4 linked regions of the Solanum lycopersicum genome follow. The protein of the gene in region 3 interacts with the protein of the main gene of each other region in a pairwise test. Links are inferred from orthologs where the notes say so. Each region holds a gene or a part of one and is shown on either strand. Other genes may lie near its edges.

Region 1 (4,541 bases), on a different chromosome or scaffold from region 3:
TTTACCTTGCTAAAAGTGCAAAAGCTTATTGTAACATGATAGACTATGTCAACACTCTCAATCATGAAGTAACTTTGCTCCCCAAAAAGAAATTTAGATACATAATGTAGCAACATTCAGACAATGCAAGAGGTATAAACATAATCAACTGAAGAAGAAACATTTGAATTTTCAAGAAGAAAAGATGGGGAATTATAAATGTCAAGTATGAGAAAGAACATTGCATATAATGAACTCAAACTGTATGTGTCTAGAATCACACTCCTGCAAGGAAATATTAACTGTGTAGAGGTACGCACCCATTCCCAACAGACACCTGCAGAAGGCAAGCATCAAAAGTATATAAAATGTCAAGTTTCCTACAAGACTAGCAATAAAAGAAGAACAAACTAATCATTTGAATGATGGGTTTACCCTAGTCTAGCAATATCATTTTCATTCTCTGAAATTGATATTCAAGTTCTATATGAGAACAGTATTCACATCCTTCTAATCAACTACACTAGAGAAGGCAGAGTTAGATACTTGTGATCTACCGTTTCGTGTGTCAAAAGCATGTATAAGTAGCAGAATGACCACTTCTAATATCAATATTCTGAACCCTAATTGAATCCTCCACTGTGAAAATGAACATCTTGCTAAATAAAAATAGAAGAGAATTTCAACGGGCTCTGCTAATAGTGAGGACATGTGGATATACATCTAAAATGAGTGTATTTTGATATGGAGAGGAAAGTAGATTGACATACCACATTAAGGTTATGCCGACTGCATTGCAAGAGGATGCATATGTCATTAATTGCCCGATCAACAACAGATTGTTCTGCATTATGGAGTGCAAAAGAAAATGATGAGCATATAAGGAAGACGAGATCTTTGAATACATAAATTTTGCATTAGAGATCTAAATCATGGCAGATTTCTACCAACTGAGAACGCTGAACAATACAACAGCACATACGAATTTTCCACCGAATAAAAACTTCATAAGCAATCACAAGAATATTTCAAAACTGATTCTGGAGTACATAAAGTCCAACCATGTCCTACGAAATTAACAGGGGAGTAACAACTTTGTAACACCAGAGGCCGATTCAGATTTACCTTTAAAAACAGTAGGATGCATGTAATATATGTCTCTTTTTGATCCATGCCTGTTTTCTTGCAGAAGTTGTTGAACTATCAGTAGAACTCTCAACATAACATCTGAAACAAAAACATAAAGAGGAAGTAACCATGCAAGGTTCTAAGATGTTAAGGAGATTGGAGAGCAAAAAGTGCCTTCAAGTTGATTCGACCAAACAGAAAAGATAACTGAGGGAGAAACCTTGTACTACCCCATCCCAATCCCCGTCCCCCACCCTACATGGTGCATCCTGTGTAACATCAATGAAAGGGAGGCTCATATAGGACAACAAAAGTATAGAAAATCAACTAAACGGGGAAATATAGTTCTCCTGGAAATTTTGTCATTTTCAGTGAGGATAGCAACTTTTAATAATCATTCCTACCCCATTCTTGATCATTTCATTTCTTGTCAACTATGTAATGAGGACTATAGATGAAATATACAAGTATTGTTTACTCTCCCTAGACTCACCAAGCCTACGTGCATGGCATTCCCTCTTCAAGGAAATAGCTTCCTTGCCAGTCGATAAACCGGAGCTGCAAGAGCTACATAAATAAAACAAAAACCATTAATACTATCAGAAAATTTGGATGGTATTAATTAGCCATTCAAACACCAACTTCAATAAATTTCATTGTTTTTAGAACTCTGTTCAACGTAACTATTACTAATTGTACTTATTAGTGTCTTAGAATAGGATTAGGATATGGCTTCTACAAACAAACTTCTCAGTATAGACTGTGCTCGTTCTTCTTCTGAGCAAGACATTTAGAATAATGATATCTCTACATTTTATTTTTTGTAAGGGTTTGTTTTGGGGGTGCTGGGGGCGTTTTACACCTATGTGGATCTTCATCAGTTGCAATTTTCAGTTCAATTACGTCAAGGAGAATCTGTTTGGAGGCCTTGTAATACAGAAAGGAATCATACATTCCTGTATTTCTATCAATAGATAGGAAATCAACAATAATTCAGTAAAATTTTGTGTTAGAATTCTAAAACATTAATTGCAATGAAATTTCAGACCGCAGAACACATTCATTTTTTTCAACTAGATCTTTGAAAAAGAAGGAAAGAAGAAAAAAACTTCGCTAAGTTTAACTTTATTGATAATTTCATATACTCAAGCAACCAAATAACATTCTCACACACATATGCGTCTTGCCGATTTTCAGAAGTATCAGTAGATAAATTTCTGAACCAATGGAGGTAGTTTTTTTATTAATTCATAGGAAATCGACAGCTAAATTCAGTGTTAGTTTTTGAGTTTTCTAAAACACTATTTGCAATGAAATTTTCAACTGCAACATACATTTATTGTTTTCAACCAGATCTTCGAATAAGAAGGAACAGATAACAAAAAAGCACTTCACTACGCATAACTTGACTGATCATTTCATATACTCATACATACACTGCGTCTTACCAATTTCCAGAAGTGTCAGTACAGTAATTTCTGAACCGTTCGATGTAGATCAGCGGCGGCCTACCTCGAGCGAGATCCTCAACAATGGAACGAGTAAATCCTGCAAAACAAAACCAAAGTATATGTGGCTTAAACGCGAAGAAGATTTGTTGAGAATCAATGTATTGAACGCGAGAATCGTAATGCATTTCTCAGAAAAAATTTAAGTTCAATGGAAGCGCTAGCTACCTTTGATTTTCCTTAAGAGTGTTAGTGGCCGCGTGTTTGAACGCTTTCCCTCCATTTCCTCTTCGCTCTGCAGGTTCACGTTGTTTGTAAATTGGTAAAGCCGAGCTTTATAGCTGCGCGCGCAAGTTAGCTCGGCGTGTTGGGCATGAAGGTTAATATTTTAGAAAAAAAAATATTTTAGAAATTTTTATATTTTATTAACTTAAAATATTTTGAAAAATATTTTTTCAATATGAGATATAATAACTATTCCACTTAAAATTAAGAAAAAAAATTCGAACCTCACCACCAACCCTATCCATTCAAGGAACCAACTTTTGATCTCAACCCTCACTCAATACCTAACTCTTGATCTTGATCTTTAGCTTGACCTCAACCTCAAGCCCTATTTCCAACCTTGAGTTGGGATCTAACTTCATGATTTCCAACACTGACTTTGATTCGAGACGTAGCGCGGACCTACCTAGTTGCTTGAGGGTGTATTAATCATAACTTACTGGATGCATTGATTAAATTTATGGCGTTATATTGCATAGGTTTTTTATTTCTTTTTAAGTCATGATGCCCCCTCTGTTTTAATTTTTGAATTAGTCTTGAATTCGAGACTCAACCCCAATTTCAATTCAAGACTTGACTTGACCTCGATTTGGTACTCGACCTTGACTTGAGATTAAGGTCCAATAATCTCGGCTCGAGGTTGGATTTCCGATCTCGATTTGAAATCATGATTGAGATTGAGTCTCAAACCACTGCTTGACCTAGGTTTCGGCTCGAGATTGAATATTCTAGAACAACATTTGTTGGAGACTTTCACTTTGAATAATGTAGAATGAAACTCAAATACAAGACAAAATCAATATTTTGATCACTTCAACGTCAGATTGGCCAAAAAAATTATTGATCTAAATACAGTTTGACTATGAAAAAGGTAAGATAATTAAGCTCCACCTTCTTTTTGTTACTAAATAAGAAAAAGAGCAGATCAAGTATCCTCACACATTTCAATATGTTTTTTTCAAGAACTTTTTATAGCAAGTAACGAAATTATGCAGGAAATCTTTATTGATGGTCACATGAACTGCTCATGTTTTTGTACGATCCCTTAATTTTTTGACGATATCTAACAGAAGATAAAAACTGTTCGCTTTTAAATATTTGAAGGTTGTAATCTAAATTTGTGGTATAGTTTAGGGATGGTTTTGACAAAAAACTCATATTTTCTTTGTAGTAACCAAATGCTAAAAAATAAGTAGGAAAATCATTTATTTATTAGAAAATACATAAAATCCCCCTCAAACTTGTCACCAAAACTCACTTTAGCACTGTAATTTTACGGATGTTTAAGTACTCCCTTAGAAAATTTGCAAGTGAATTGAATAACACCTCAACGGCTAACATGACAAATTAAAAAAACAAAGGTGCGTAAACAAAAAAAAAATTAAAAAAAATAGAACCAGTGGGTCTCACTTTGTCTTCTATGACTCTATGTTTCATCTCCTCTTTCTGGTTTTAACTCTCTCTCTCTATTCCCTCGATTTTAACTCTCTCTCTCTATCTATCCCTCGATGGAGAAATTTCGATGACAACTACTCGCCGGCAAGTTCAATATTGCTCAATCACGAAGGACATCATTATCACTCCCTTTGTTACTCGTTTATCATTGCTTTATAAGAGATCAACCACCCGATCTCATTAAAAAATTTCACTATTTTAGTAACTTGGACTAAACGCCGGTTCTAATCATCTCTAGCTTCAATG
Region 2 (3,757 bases), on a different chromosome or scaffold from region 3:
CAGACAACAAGCATTCAAACATGGAAGAAAATGCAGAAAGAGTCATTCTACGACCAAGCGTGCACTCTCCAACAAGGAAACCAGTGGTTTTGCAAAAAATGAGGATAACTAAGGAGTCACTGCAATCCTGGCTAACAAGAAGGTTAGATGCTTCTGTAGTGCAATGATGTACGAAACATGATATGTATAGATTTATACGAACTCTTTCTTTTCGTAGAGTTCTTTCATCCCTTTAACAGCCGAATAAACACTGTATATTCAATGATATACCACATGCTAAAAACTTCACATTTTACCATCAAATGTAAACAAAAGTAACAAAAGAAAATGATGTGTTCTTATTCTCGCACAATATATGTAGCTGCTTCATAACATTCCAATATTCTTGCATCATCGTGGATCAAAGAAAGCATCCTATCACAACTACACAACGGAAAAGACATGATATCTGCAAATCTTAACCTTACCTTTGTGGGGTAGAGAGGTTGTTTTCGGAAAGCATCCTGTAGCAACATATCCATCATAATCCCACAAGTCATCACAAGTAGGGCCTAGAGAGATAGGACGTACCCAAAAGTTATCCCCACCTTTGTGGGGTAGAGAGGTTGTTTCGGGAAAGCATCCTGTAACAAAACAACATATTCACTATAATCCCACAAGTCACATATAGGGTCTAGAGAGATAGGACGCATTCAAAAGTTATCACTACCTTTGTGGGGTAGAGAGGTCGACTCAAAAAAGCGCAATCAAACCAATCCACTCAAAATCATAAGAACGAAGATGCGTTAACACAACAAGACGCTCCCCATAAAAATACAGTAAACGAGATACAAGATATGCATTTAACTTTAGGCATAAATTAATACGATAAGATTGAAGTAGTTAAACAACAAGATTTGATTTTCATAGCCAATCTTGTTCTTGCAGCTTCAATGGCAAATATACTTCGGACAGATACTGAAATCCAAACGAACTCAACGCCTGAATCTCAGCCTTTTGCTTAGTCTTCACCATCAAATTCAACTCCTCAACCCACGCGGGATTCTTCTTCACAAAGTCCTCCTCCAACAAATCTTTCCCAGTCTTAATATCCTGTTCAGTCATTGGCAACCTACATTGCTCCGGTATCTTATACTTGTCCAAATCACTCGGTCTAATACCCAACCACTTGATATCCGGGGTAGTCAGATTCGCACTATCATATGACATATTCTTCGATCCACATCCGTACACTGACAAAATCTTCAACCCATAAGGATCACTATCCACCAATGCCAAAACCGGCAAATTCAGCTCCATCTTCATCTTCCTCAGAAACAACCTAGTTGCCACATCCGGTTGACCCTTTGCAGTCACGATTATACAAGGAAATCTATTGTAAAACCGATCTTCAGACAATCTCATAAACGCAGCATCCTTTTCGACTAACAATATGTACAATGCATCACTCTGCATATCACCAACTCTATCGATATTCGGAGGTATAGCTTTCCCTCCCATTCCCATTTTCGTACAATCAATCATATCGCCATTGTCACTAAAAATCAACCTTCCAACTACAACTCCTTTCTCAGCTGCAACCACATTCAAACTAGACCTAGTACATCCAACTATACACGAAACATCATCTAATACAGCATCAGACTGCGTCTGATCCTGAAACAACTTAACGTCGGTGTAGAAAAGATCACGCTTTGTGACATGAATGTTACTGGTGCAAAGCTGATGAACAAGCTGAAGGATTCTAAGAGTAATTGTTGCTTTACGAACAGTAGATACATTACCGAAGTTGCGAGCCGATGATTTGTCTTTGAGAACAATGCGGTCGAGTTCGGAGACATAGAGTTGGTTAGCGGCAGCGCGGGAAGGGACGGAGAAAGAGAAACCTTCACCGGAGAGTATGGATTTAGCTATAGTAAACGCTAACGATTCAATTTCGGACTGTACCTCATCGATTGGGAGGTCGGCGACTTCACGGCAGGTAGAGGAGAGGCCGACGTCGGAGAGGGATAGGGTTTTGGAAGTGGTGGAACAGGAGGATTTGAGTGCTTTTAGGGTTTGGAGGATGACGGAGTCGGGTTTGAGCTTGGATTGGAAAGGCCGGCTTTCGGAGTCGGAATCGGAGTCGTGAGCTGCTCGCCGGCGTTTCTTCTTGTCGGCCATCGGCGACGGGGATTAGGTGAAGCGGGAAATGACAATAAATGTGAGGATAGGTACTGTAGTGCTTAGGGCTTTGGTTAAAGTAAAGAAAATGGCAAAAATGGTCCCTAAAGTTCGGTATATGTCCAAAATAATCTCTTAAATATATTCTCGAATAATTTTCTGTCTTCGTTTCAAAAAGAATGTCTCTATTTTCTTTTTAGTTTGTTTTAAAAATAAGTCGAAAATTGATTCTTCCTGGGTCGATGCCCGAGGGGTTAATGGGGACGGACTGTAAATTCATTCGCAATATGTCTACGCGAATTTTCCCTTTTTTTTTTTTGCAACACTTTAATTTTAACTTTCCACGTGACATGTTTAAGACCACAAGATTAAAGTGCATTTTGATACATTTGACATAACTTTAATTTAGACCACAAGATTAAAATTTCTTATTTCTTTTTTTAAACTCCGTTCCAAGTCAAACTAGGTCATCCTTTTTTAAACGAAAAAAGTAGTTCATTTCAATTTATCAAATACTATCGTGCATCGAACTATCCTTTTTAATATTTGGGACAATAACAACAATAACAAAATATTTAGTATAATTCCACAGAACATGAGGAGGGTAGATACAAATCACATCACTAAGACTATATAGTGTGTATACACATTAACCATTAAAGGGGTAGAGAAAATGATGCATATATTAATCACCAAATTATATAAAAGTTGCTCATTCTTCACTCTCACGATGTGATGACAAATTTAAACGATATATACTTTTCTCCATATTTATAAACCAGTTTATCTATTTGAGATGTCTTCATGTGTAGATTTGTTCTTTTCTTCGCAAATAAAGAGTTGCTTGTTATTAATTTACTTCATTATAGTGACATTACACACAATTAAAAATAAAATACAAATGGTATTATATACTTATAAACAATAAAAATATCGTGTCTAGATACAGATTCAGCTAACTCAAGCAGTTTCTTTTCTTAAAACGAATTAATTTAGAAAGTTCATTAAATATGTACCGTATTACATTTAGGACTCAATTATCAATACTTAAAGCCATTTTCCTAAAATAGAAGCTATAGAATTAAAATTCCGACTCCACCTTGAACAACAATAAACTCCTCCTCCGTAAAAACTCTAACCAATGTAATAAAACAAGGGATGCATCTTGATTTTCTTTGCAACAAACATTTAAGATTTCTTTTATATCATATAGCACGAGAGAAAAGACATAAAGACACCATCAAAATTGTTTCGTATTTGCATAAAGAAGTGTCCTATTACCCCCACAGTGTCCTATCACCCCACCAAATTATTTAATATCTTTGTAAATGGATTATTTTGACCTCCTTATTTTGATTGGAAGAAGATGAAGAGGGTTTCATGCTAGGACAGATACAAGGATGGTAAGAATTGTAACAATGTGAGGGCGTTTTATAATAGGGAGGAACAAACCAGGACTTTCCTATATTCACAAGGATTTTGAATAGCTATTGGCCCAATATGTTTTGGACTTGGTTTACATTGTTATTTTGAAAACGGGAAACTTTCACATATAGCACTAAAAAATCTCATAAATTATCATTTGTAGCTACAT
Region 3 (3,851 bases):
ACTATATCCAGCCTCTCACGCCTCCTTGCATCTGTACCTCTCCTCTTCTATGCCCAAACCATCTCAGGCGTTCGCTTCCCTCAGCTTGTCCACCACGGAGGCCACTGCCACTTTGTCCTGGATATCTTCAATTATAATCTTATCTCTCCTAGAATGCCCACACATCCATCTGAACATCCTCATTTTTCTAACTTGTATCTTGTGAACAATGTAAATTGGGATCAACTGTTTACTCAGAACGTCTCATCGCTAACTCTTCTCTGAATCCTGGCTAATCACGTCTTGAATGATACAGTTCCTTAACCAGTAAATTTTAATGACAGAATACATGATCATCTGTGTCAACTTCACAAAGGTTGTATACACTAAAAAGCGGAATTGATGCAGTTTGACAGTTCATCGAACTTTATGTTGGTATCCAACTTAACAAAAACCAATCAAGCTCACACAACTTGTCTTTTAGCTTAGGGTGATCATTATCTCCTAGTAATAAACTGTTGGAATTGCTTTGGAAGAATGGCTTCTGGATATAATTATCTTTCATAATGACAGGTTTATAACTTTATATAAGTTTTACATATATAACATATTTCTTACCTTTGACAATTAGACAACGTTGGAAGTACTCCTATATCTCATAGGATTGAGAACATTTGGTTGTCTAAACTGAGGGATGAAAGTTGCAGGCACATCTGATAGTGAGATACACAATTTAAACGTAAATCTAAAAGATTCTAATTCTGCTGGAAGACTGACAAAGCTACCCTCAACTGCAAAGAATGGTGCCAAATTCAGGTATGCCATTTTCAGGGGCTCCATCCATGTGATGCTACTCTTAAATTAGTTTTCTCTTGACCATACCCATCTAGTCTTTTCCTTCCTTTCTATGCTTCTGTCTTTCCGCACATGGTTAATTACTTATACCTTGCAGTGGGACTGAAGTATCAATATCAATATCCAAGAGCCTTGATGACTTGTTGGCAGAGATTACTTGCTTTCTTCAAAAGGTTCATTTTCATGTCTATCAGCTGATTCTAGCTATGATTTCCTAAATTGTATGAAAAATTCTCTAACTACAGTTTTTCATTGCTATCTACGCAGATGATCCTTCTGAAGATTCCGGTTAGTTCATTACTTTTCTTGAAATGCTTTATATTCAAATCAAATGCAACTATCTTCTCTATAGACCCCTCTTATAAATCATAGCTACTAACTGCTCAGACAGCTCAAGGCGTTCAGTGTGAACCTACTAAATGCAAGTGTATATATTTTGGATGAGTTCACCATGTCAAAAATATTTCTTTTGTTACCAGATTCGCATTAAAATTCGAAAGTTTTAAGCTTTTATATGTCATTTTAACCTACTTCTTTGGCCTTGTTATATTTTGAAAAGCTTACCTTTTTCCCTATCCTGTTTCCTAGGAGTTACCTAGGAGCCTAGGACCACTACCTCTCTGTGGCTGATGGCTTGTTTCTCTTCTTACAGAAAGTTGTAATGGAACTCTTAGTATGTGGTGATGATCCTTTGAGTTCACAGATTGAAAGTCGTATTCTGGCAATTGAGGGCAGCTCTGCATATTCTCCTATTGAAAGCATAGAAAGCTTGAAAGTGGGACTCAAGGATTATATTCGCAAGCACCAAACTTGCTTCTCAATTGGGTAAGTACTAGAAAGGTGCTAGGTTTTGGTTAATGAATGATGATGCATTCCAACCTCTAGTTTTTGTTGAAGGTTGGATATAATGTATTAGTAGGTCTAACTTCCACATGTTGAAATCATAATTCTTAGGTGCTAATATAAAAAGATAACAAAGAGTACACTTTGACATAGTTACCCTGAACTTTGTCATTTCCTTGTTTTACATGAACTATTTCATCTACTAACTTTAAGCTAGCCTTTCATTCTACAATTTTCCCATTAAAAAGTGTGACATTTGCAGTTCTTCTCTCTTTCTTATGTGGTTTTGTCTGTATGCCTGACCGTTCATTAAGCTACTTCAGTGTGATATAAAGTAGTGCATTATTGTTCTGAAATATACAATTTGTAGATTTTACCTTCTTGAAATACTGGTTACAAATAGTTAGATTGAGTGAAGATGGGAAAAAGAAGCTTGGGATACACTGGACCAGGTGAGAGAAAATCAGGATCAAACATAAAAGGAAATGCTAGAACTCCAACCATAGAAGCAGACTGAAGGAGGAGTAGAGGCAAGACAATTGATCACATGTAGCATGCAGGAAGTAGTACTTAAGTTATTTAAAATCTGGTTGACAGCTCAATTGACTCCTTCAATTTGATGTAGGAGGATTTAAGTTTGATAATGTAATTTAGTTAAGATCTATTTGTGGTGCTAAACGGCTCATATGGTATATGTAAAATTGCAGCATCTCATATAAGATCTTTGGAGATGTAACTGTTGTGCAGAGCCAAAAACAAAACGAAAATATCAATGTGCATTGCATTAAACACGGCTGTACATAAAGTCGTTGTTTCTTATTTCAGGGAAAACCTGAAGGTTGGAACTGGGGTTGCTAATTCTTCAGATAGTTCTCAGGGAAATAGCCAGGTGGTGGAAGCTGTTGTGATTATCAATGAGATGTCAGAACTAGTTCATTCTTCCAGCATCAGTGAACAAGACATGAAAACAGAGGTTTGCTTTGGATTAATTGAAGAAGACTCTTAAAAGCATAAAATATGTTTGCATTCCAATATCTGCTTTATTAATTATGTTGTGATCAAATGTTAGATAATAGTTCACTGTAAAGATGCCATGTTGCATATTCTTTCCCAACATCTTTTAACTTGTGTTTTGAGTTCATTTGTTGTCCTAGAATGTGTGGATTGTGAAAACTAATGATAATATCACAGATATGCATTCTTTGGGATTTCAACTTTCCGGGATCTTTTATCACTATGAATGTCTTGTTTTCATATAAGCATGGTGCACAAGGTGAAGAACCTTGTGCACTTTATGGTGTGTGGAGGCTAAGATTTATGCAATTTCCCCTACATCATGGAGTAGATAGCTATTTATGTGAGTAATAACTGAAAAATATTTTTGAACTTCTGAGGGCCAAGAAGTGGACCTTTTTCTTTATGGCCATCTTGATGACATTGGATTGGATATGTTACATTACACATACAACAACTATGTCTCAATCCCAAGCAAGTTGGGGTTGGCAATATAATCCTCACGGACCATGTGGCTCCATTTATGTTCATAAATAGATTTACATATCAGGAAACAAAATTCTATGTGGAAAGTGTGATTTTCATATTGTAATATAAAATAAACTATTTCCTAAAATCTAGAGTATACCCAGTGTATACCAAACAGGATACATTAATAATCCGATCTTATTATACTGTGGACAAATATAGTCTCTGGTATTGAGTCTAATTAAATATTGCTTATTAAACTTCGAGGATATCAAAAGTTTTTGCTAAGTGAACTATACAAGTTATAGGTTGGCTGTCCCAGCCATTTCTAGTCCTTACAGTTGTTTCCAAAAGTATACGATGGAGGGGGACTTAATATCTAATCTCCAAAGTAAACGAAATACAAGTGAGGACACAAAGGAAGGTTTTGGAGAAATCCTATTTATCAGTTAAGCTCACAAAACAGGTGCGATGAACATATGAAGATTCCAATATGAATCCTCACTTACTCACTAACCTTGACCAATTCCTTTTTTCTGTGTCTTGATTCTAAAGTTAGCAAAGCCAACTTTATCCATGATATAAACTCCTCTCACTGCTTGAGGGAGCTCATTAGCAGATATAGAAATTCTGTAAGATTGTTTGATAGCTTCAAACTTAGCTAGCCCATCTTCCATGGCATTGAGTTCCCC
Region 4 (4,513 bases), on a different chromosome or scaffold from region 3:
ATGAATTAATACTTGAATGGACAATCTCCTAGCAGCTATTCTGTAAGCTAGAACATCAGAATAAAGTTCTATTTGAAGATGTTTATAAATCTTCACGTCACCTAGTTGCAATATCAGGAAATCCTTTGGCAGTAATCAGAATGCATGGGATGTGATTGAATACACGATCCTCTGCTAGTCGCTGGAATATAGCATGCTAAAAAGTGGAACTAGTTTTAGTTTCTTGCAAAAATGATTGACTAGAGTTCCCAACAAGTGATAAAATACCTTTTCCACCATGATGATGTATCGAGCATCTGTTTCCATGGTTAATTTTTCCAGCAATTCCAGGTCTCCTGATATAGCATAACCCGAAGATCCACAAGCAGAGCAGTCAATAACTTCCTTGTCTGGCTCCTATCTCAGTGGTGTAAAGAAACAAACTTAAGTCATATGTCCATCTTTGAAGAAAGAAATACCAAGTTCTAACTGTTGGATAAACTACCTATTTCAAATTCTTGAACAAGCTTTATATAGGAACTTAGAGACTTGTACATCATTTAAGTAATAGGTTCATTGAGTTTTGGCACAAATTCAAGATACAAAGCAAAATAGTTGATCATAGACGGCTACCAGCAGCTAGCTCTTATCAACTATAGAAATTTGGAAACATTGAAAGTTTTGACTAGGTTGGCTCATGTTGAAATCAAACAATCGGTTGTGCCTCAATCATAAACTAGTTGAGATGGGCTATATGAATTCTCTATATCCATTTGTTGTACATGGCCTATTTCATTCCAATATGACAGATCATGTTACTGGCCAAGTCAAAATACTAATACTGCTACGCGTTTGATTAAATTAAAATATAAACATTTGAAATTACAACCAAAGGGTTGATAATAGTACCTGTAACAATAAACGGCCTGCTATTGCCCCTCTGCTTGATGCCATTATTCCAAGGCTGTAACGGCTGCATCGAAGCAAAGCCACCAAGTCTGTTCCTCATAGATAGTAAATGAAGGACCTCGTGTTAACAAAATCAACCGAACACACAGATCATATTCAGATATGATGAAGAAAGAAGAAAGAACAATGACCTTGGATGGTCCTATTAACCTGCAATTGAGAAGTGAAGTAATCTGGTGAATCACAGAGCAGCTTGTAGTATAGCTCTCTCTGTGTCACCCTCTTTTCCTGAACCAGAATTTGGTAGCACATCTCCATAACCTTCCAAACTTGATCACAAAAACATTGCCAGCGTCATTGATTTGTCTAATAAGTAATTTGATGGTAAGAAACTTGTAGCCTTTTACCTCTTATGAATGACTTAGCACTATTCTCTCTCGTCAAAGAACGCGTGCAAAAAGAATGGGACAGGAAGATCCATGAATCACCGGTAAGTAACCCACGGCTCACTCTGCTATTGCTGGAGTTCCTACTGATCTGCATCACATATGCCATATATAAATCATCAACTATGCCTCTTTTTGACGTCCACTATATGAATCATCTATATCCATTTATGTTCAGGCCTAATTCATCCCAAAACTGGTAAGTCATTTGTTCTTTGAGGTGACAGAGAGGTTCACATATAAATCTCCCAAAGTTGCTTAATTAAGAACAATAAGCATTCTGAACAATTAACGAAGCATCAATCCAATGGATTTATCAACTTTTTTTTGGATTTGTTTATAACTTGATGATGCTTACAGCAGGCATATGAAGTAAGCTAAAAGTGCAAATTATAGAGAGATTTCGTTTCGAAAAGATGAAGATGTAAAATTTCAAACCAGTGATAGATCAGAAATTGACGGAGAGTTTGAACTTAGAGCTTTAAGAAAATTCAGGACCGCAACTTCGATTCGAGCTCGGACCTGAACACAGAAATTCGATTATATCAGAAAACAAATACATGCTGCAATCGCGACATGGTTAGAACTTTGAATCTACCAGTTCATCTTTTCCCATGGACTAAAATATATCGATCCGATTTAATTTAATTGAACTTCCAAATGAAGCAATTTATACATTCAACACTGCTAGAAATCTGCGAATGTTTTGGTGACGGAGAGTTACCTGTGAAGAAGGAAGGATATCGGCATAGCAGAGGTGTTGATCGGAGAAGAAAATGGTTGATCTGCAGAATTCTCCCATAGCTTCAAAATGGCGGTAAATCTGCAATTTTGAATTCAGAGGCTAAGCATTTATATAGTGTTTGATTTGGCCCACTTTTGCATATCCGGGTGAATTTATTCTCCTTCATTTTATATTAATTGAATTTTTAAAATATTTTTATTTTTGTCAAATGAACTTAATTGTTTAATTTTCAAGACTATTTTTAAAATGTTCTTTCAATTTTATTATTAGTATTGAAATTAATTATTAATTAATGTTTAGTTATTTTAATCATATATTTAACAATACAATAACAATAAAAATAGAAAATTATGTCTAATTTATGTTGTAATTTTCTTTTTTTAAAAAGCGTGAAACACCTCAACGATTTAATTGGACAAATTTCAATCATTTAATTGTATAATTTATCGTTTAAATGAGTTAATTTTTAATTTTTTCACCTTGAAGCCTAGAAATTAAAGACCACCACAAAATAGGAAATAATTTATTAGCTTCAATCGAATAAATTTAAAAAATCTAGAAGAATTAACTTAAACAAAAAATAATCTGTGAACTTTTTTTTTAATTATTATTAAAAATAATTGTACATAAAAACACATAACAAATTCATTCCCTCTAAAACAGAATTTGAAAAGGCCAACTTTTTTTCGAAATTCAAAAAAAAAAAAAGAAGTCTAAACCAAATGGAATTACTACCTGCTCTGTTTCTGTTTCGTCTTTATCTTCTCGTACACTTTACAGTACTATTCATAACAAACTTCTTCCCATTTCCATTTTTCTCTTCCTTATATATAAAACCATTTCTCTGTAGACAAACAACAAAACAATGGCGACAAACAGCAATGAAATCGACCATAGCTTACTTACACTGTCTCTGTCTTTTTCTCCGTCTCCCGTCGTAGCACCGCCACCTCCACCACCGCCACCGCCACCACCATCTCGCCGTCCACGTAAACGAAAGCGCACATTGAAAAGCGAAACGATTCCGGCGCCTTATCCATGGGCGACTAATCATCGAGCGAAGATTCACAGTCTTAATGTGCTACGATTGAATCAGATTTCAACGATAACAGGTGAAGTTCAATGCAGAAGATGTGAGAGGAAATACGAAATAGGATTTGATTTGTGTGATAAGTTTGCACAAGTAGGAAGCTTTATTTCGGCAAATAAAGAGTCTATGCATCAACGCGCACCGGATATTTGGATGTCGCCGATGTATCTGAATTGCAATTTTTGCGAACAAGAGAATAGTGTGAAACCGATCATCTCATCGAAAAAGAAATCAATTAATTGGGTATTTTTGCTATTGGGTCAGTTTATTGGATTTTGTACGCTTGATCAGCTCAAGTATTTCTGCAAACATAATGAAATCCACAGGACGGGTGCGAAGGATCGTGTTCTTTATCAAACCTATTTGTGTCTTTGCAGACAGCTTGATAATACTGGCCCGTTTGATTACTAAAACTATGAAAAAAGTGTCAGCAATTTGGGATGAAAAGAAGGGCTAGATTTTAAATGAAAAGGCTACAAGTTAAATGGGATTATTATTGCTAGGATGATTAGTATTTAGCTTTAGTTGAAAAAAGGTTTTATGTTTTTCTAGTGTAGCCAATATTTATTTTGGCTAATTAAAACGTAGCAATAGATATGTTGTGTTCTTTTTTTAAAAATTGTTAATGTTAAAGTTAATTTCTTGTTCAGTGATGAAATATCGTGTTTTGTCACAGGTTTGTAAGAGGGTAAATGGAAAGTTATTTTCCTCATTTACTCTTTTAATAAATTTATTTGTTTATTTTATCTTTTATACTTTATTCGTTCATTTTTATTATATATTTGGCATGATATTATGAAAATATTTATTCTATTTGTTTTTGTTTATATGTTAATTTTTATTTCACAAAATAAATACATAAATGACACTTTCATTTTTATTTTATATTGAAAAGTTATTTTTTTCATTCTTTTTTATATGTCACCTTTATATTTGTAAGTATATAAATAGCATGTATTAAAATTTTAATTTATTCTAATCATCATTGAACTTATTCTAATACATGTTATTTATGTACTTACAAGTGCAAAATGAGAGAATTTTAGTTTTGACAAAGTATATTAAGACAAATATTTTAAACAATTTCTTAAGGAAAAATATTAAAATGATTGCGAACACACCCTAAATCTTTGTTTGCTTTGGAATGGTTTCGATTAAGTCAAGCCTTTTCCAGTTTCCAATAATAACAGTTATGAGTAGTAATTAAAAGTGCTTAACGAATACTTATCATAATTTCAACAAACGATGCATTTTAATTATGCTTTTAATATTGTTACCTTCTTCTTTTTTAATTGATATCAATATAGTTGGGTTGTTACTTTTAATTATCGATATTAATTCAAG

Evidence for each region.
Region 1: the proteins of type 2 DNA topoisomerase 6 subunit B-like (region 3) and meiotic recombination protein SPO11-1 interact in binary tests that used the Arabidopsis thaliana proteins (3 or more experiments, as listed by UniProt). The link is inferred for Solanum lycopersicum from reciprocal best matches to the Arabidopsis thaliana genes AT1G60460 and ATSPO11-1.
Region 2: the proteins of type 2 DNA topoisomerase 6 subunit B-like (region 3) and DNA topoisomerase 6 subunit A interact in binary tests that used the Arabidopsis thaliana proteins (3 or more experiments, as listed by UniProt). The link is inferred for Solanum lycopersicum from reciprocal best matches to the Arabidopsis thaliana genes AT1G60460 and RHL2.
Region 4: the proteins of type 2 DNA topoisomerase 6 subunit B-like (region 3) and meiotic recombination protein SPO11-2 interact in binary tests that used the Arabidopsis thaliana proteins (3 or more experiments, as listed by UniProt). The link is inferred for Solanum lycopersicum from reciprocal best matches to the Arabidopsis thaliana genes AT1G60460 and SPO11-2.

Annotation. Positions count from the first base shown.
Region 1 is NC_090806.1:69,638,008-69,642,548, forward strand, and holds the start of meiotic recombination protein SPO11-1, read right to left. Parts: upstream 2,940-4,541; 5' UTR 2,839-2,939; coding exon 2,784-2,838; intron 2,656-2,783; coding exon 2,556-2,655; intron 1,675-2,555; coding exon 1,601-1,674; intron 1,207-1,600; coding exon 1,105-1,206; intron 824-1,104; coding exon 750-823; intron 317-749; coding exon 300-316; intron 1-299. UniProt on the Arabidopsis thaliana protein: Component of a topoisomerase 6 complex specifically required for meiotic recombination. Together with MTOPVIB, mediates DNA cleavage that forms the double-strand breaks (DSB) that initiate meiotic recombination.
Region 2 is NC_090808.1:1,314,171-1,317,927, forward strand, and holds DNA topoisomerase 6 subunit A, read right to left. Parts: upstream 2,270-3,757; 5' UTR 2,164-2,269; coding exon 904-2,163; 3' UTR 743-903; downstream 1-742. Other genes in the region: pentatricopeptide repeat-containing protein At5g02830, chloroplastic, read left to right, coding at 1-167. UniProt on the Arabidopsis thaliana protein: Component of the DNA topoisomerase VI involved in chromatin organization and progression of endoreduplication cycles. Relaxes both positive and negative superturns and exhibits a strong decatenase activity. Involved in cell-elongation processes.
Region 3 is NC_090805.1:43,449,752-43,453,602, forward strand, and holds part of type 2 DNA topoisomerase 6 subunit B-like, read left to right. Parts: intron 1-686; coding exon 687-795; intron 796-931; coding exon 932-1,007; intron 1,008-1,101; coding exon 1,102-1,122; intron 1,123-1,486; coding exon 1,487-1,659; intron 1,660-2,502; coding exon 2,503-2,650; intron 2,651-3,851.
Region 4 is NC_090807.1:66,786,310-66,790,822, forward strand, and holds the start of meiotic recombination protein SPO11-2, read right to left. Parts: upstream 2,945-4,513; 5' UTR 2,815-2,944; intron 2,158-2,814; 5' UTR 2,137-2,157; coding exon 2,059-2,136; intron 1,857-2,058; coding exon 1,773-1,856; intron 1,426-1,772; coding exon 1,296-1,425; intron 1,218-1,295; coding exon 1,080-1,217; intron 978-1,079; coding exon 889-977; intron 397-888; coding exon 268-396; intron 197-267; coding exon 102-196; intron 1-101. Other genes in the region: uncharacterized protein, read left to right, coding at 2,945-3,580. UniProt on the Arabidopsis thaliana protein: Component of a topoisomerase 6 complex specifically required for meiotic recombination. Together with MTOPVIB, mediates DNA cleavage that forms the double-strand breaks (DSB) that initiate meiotic recombination.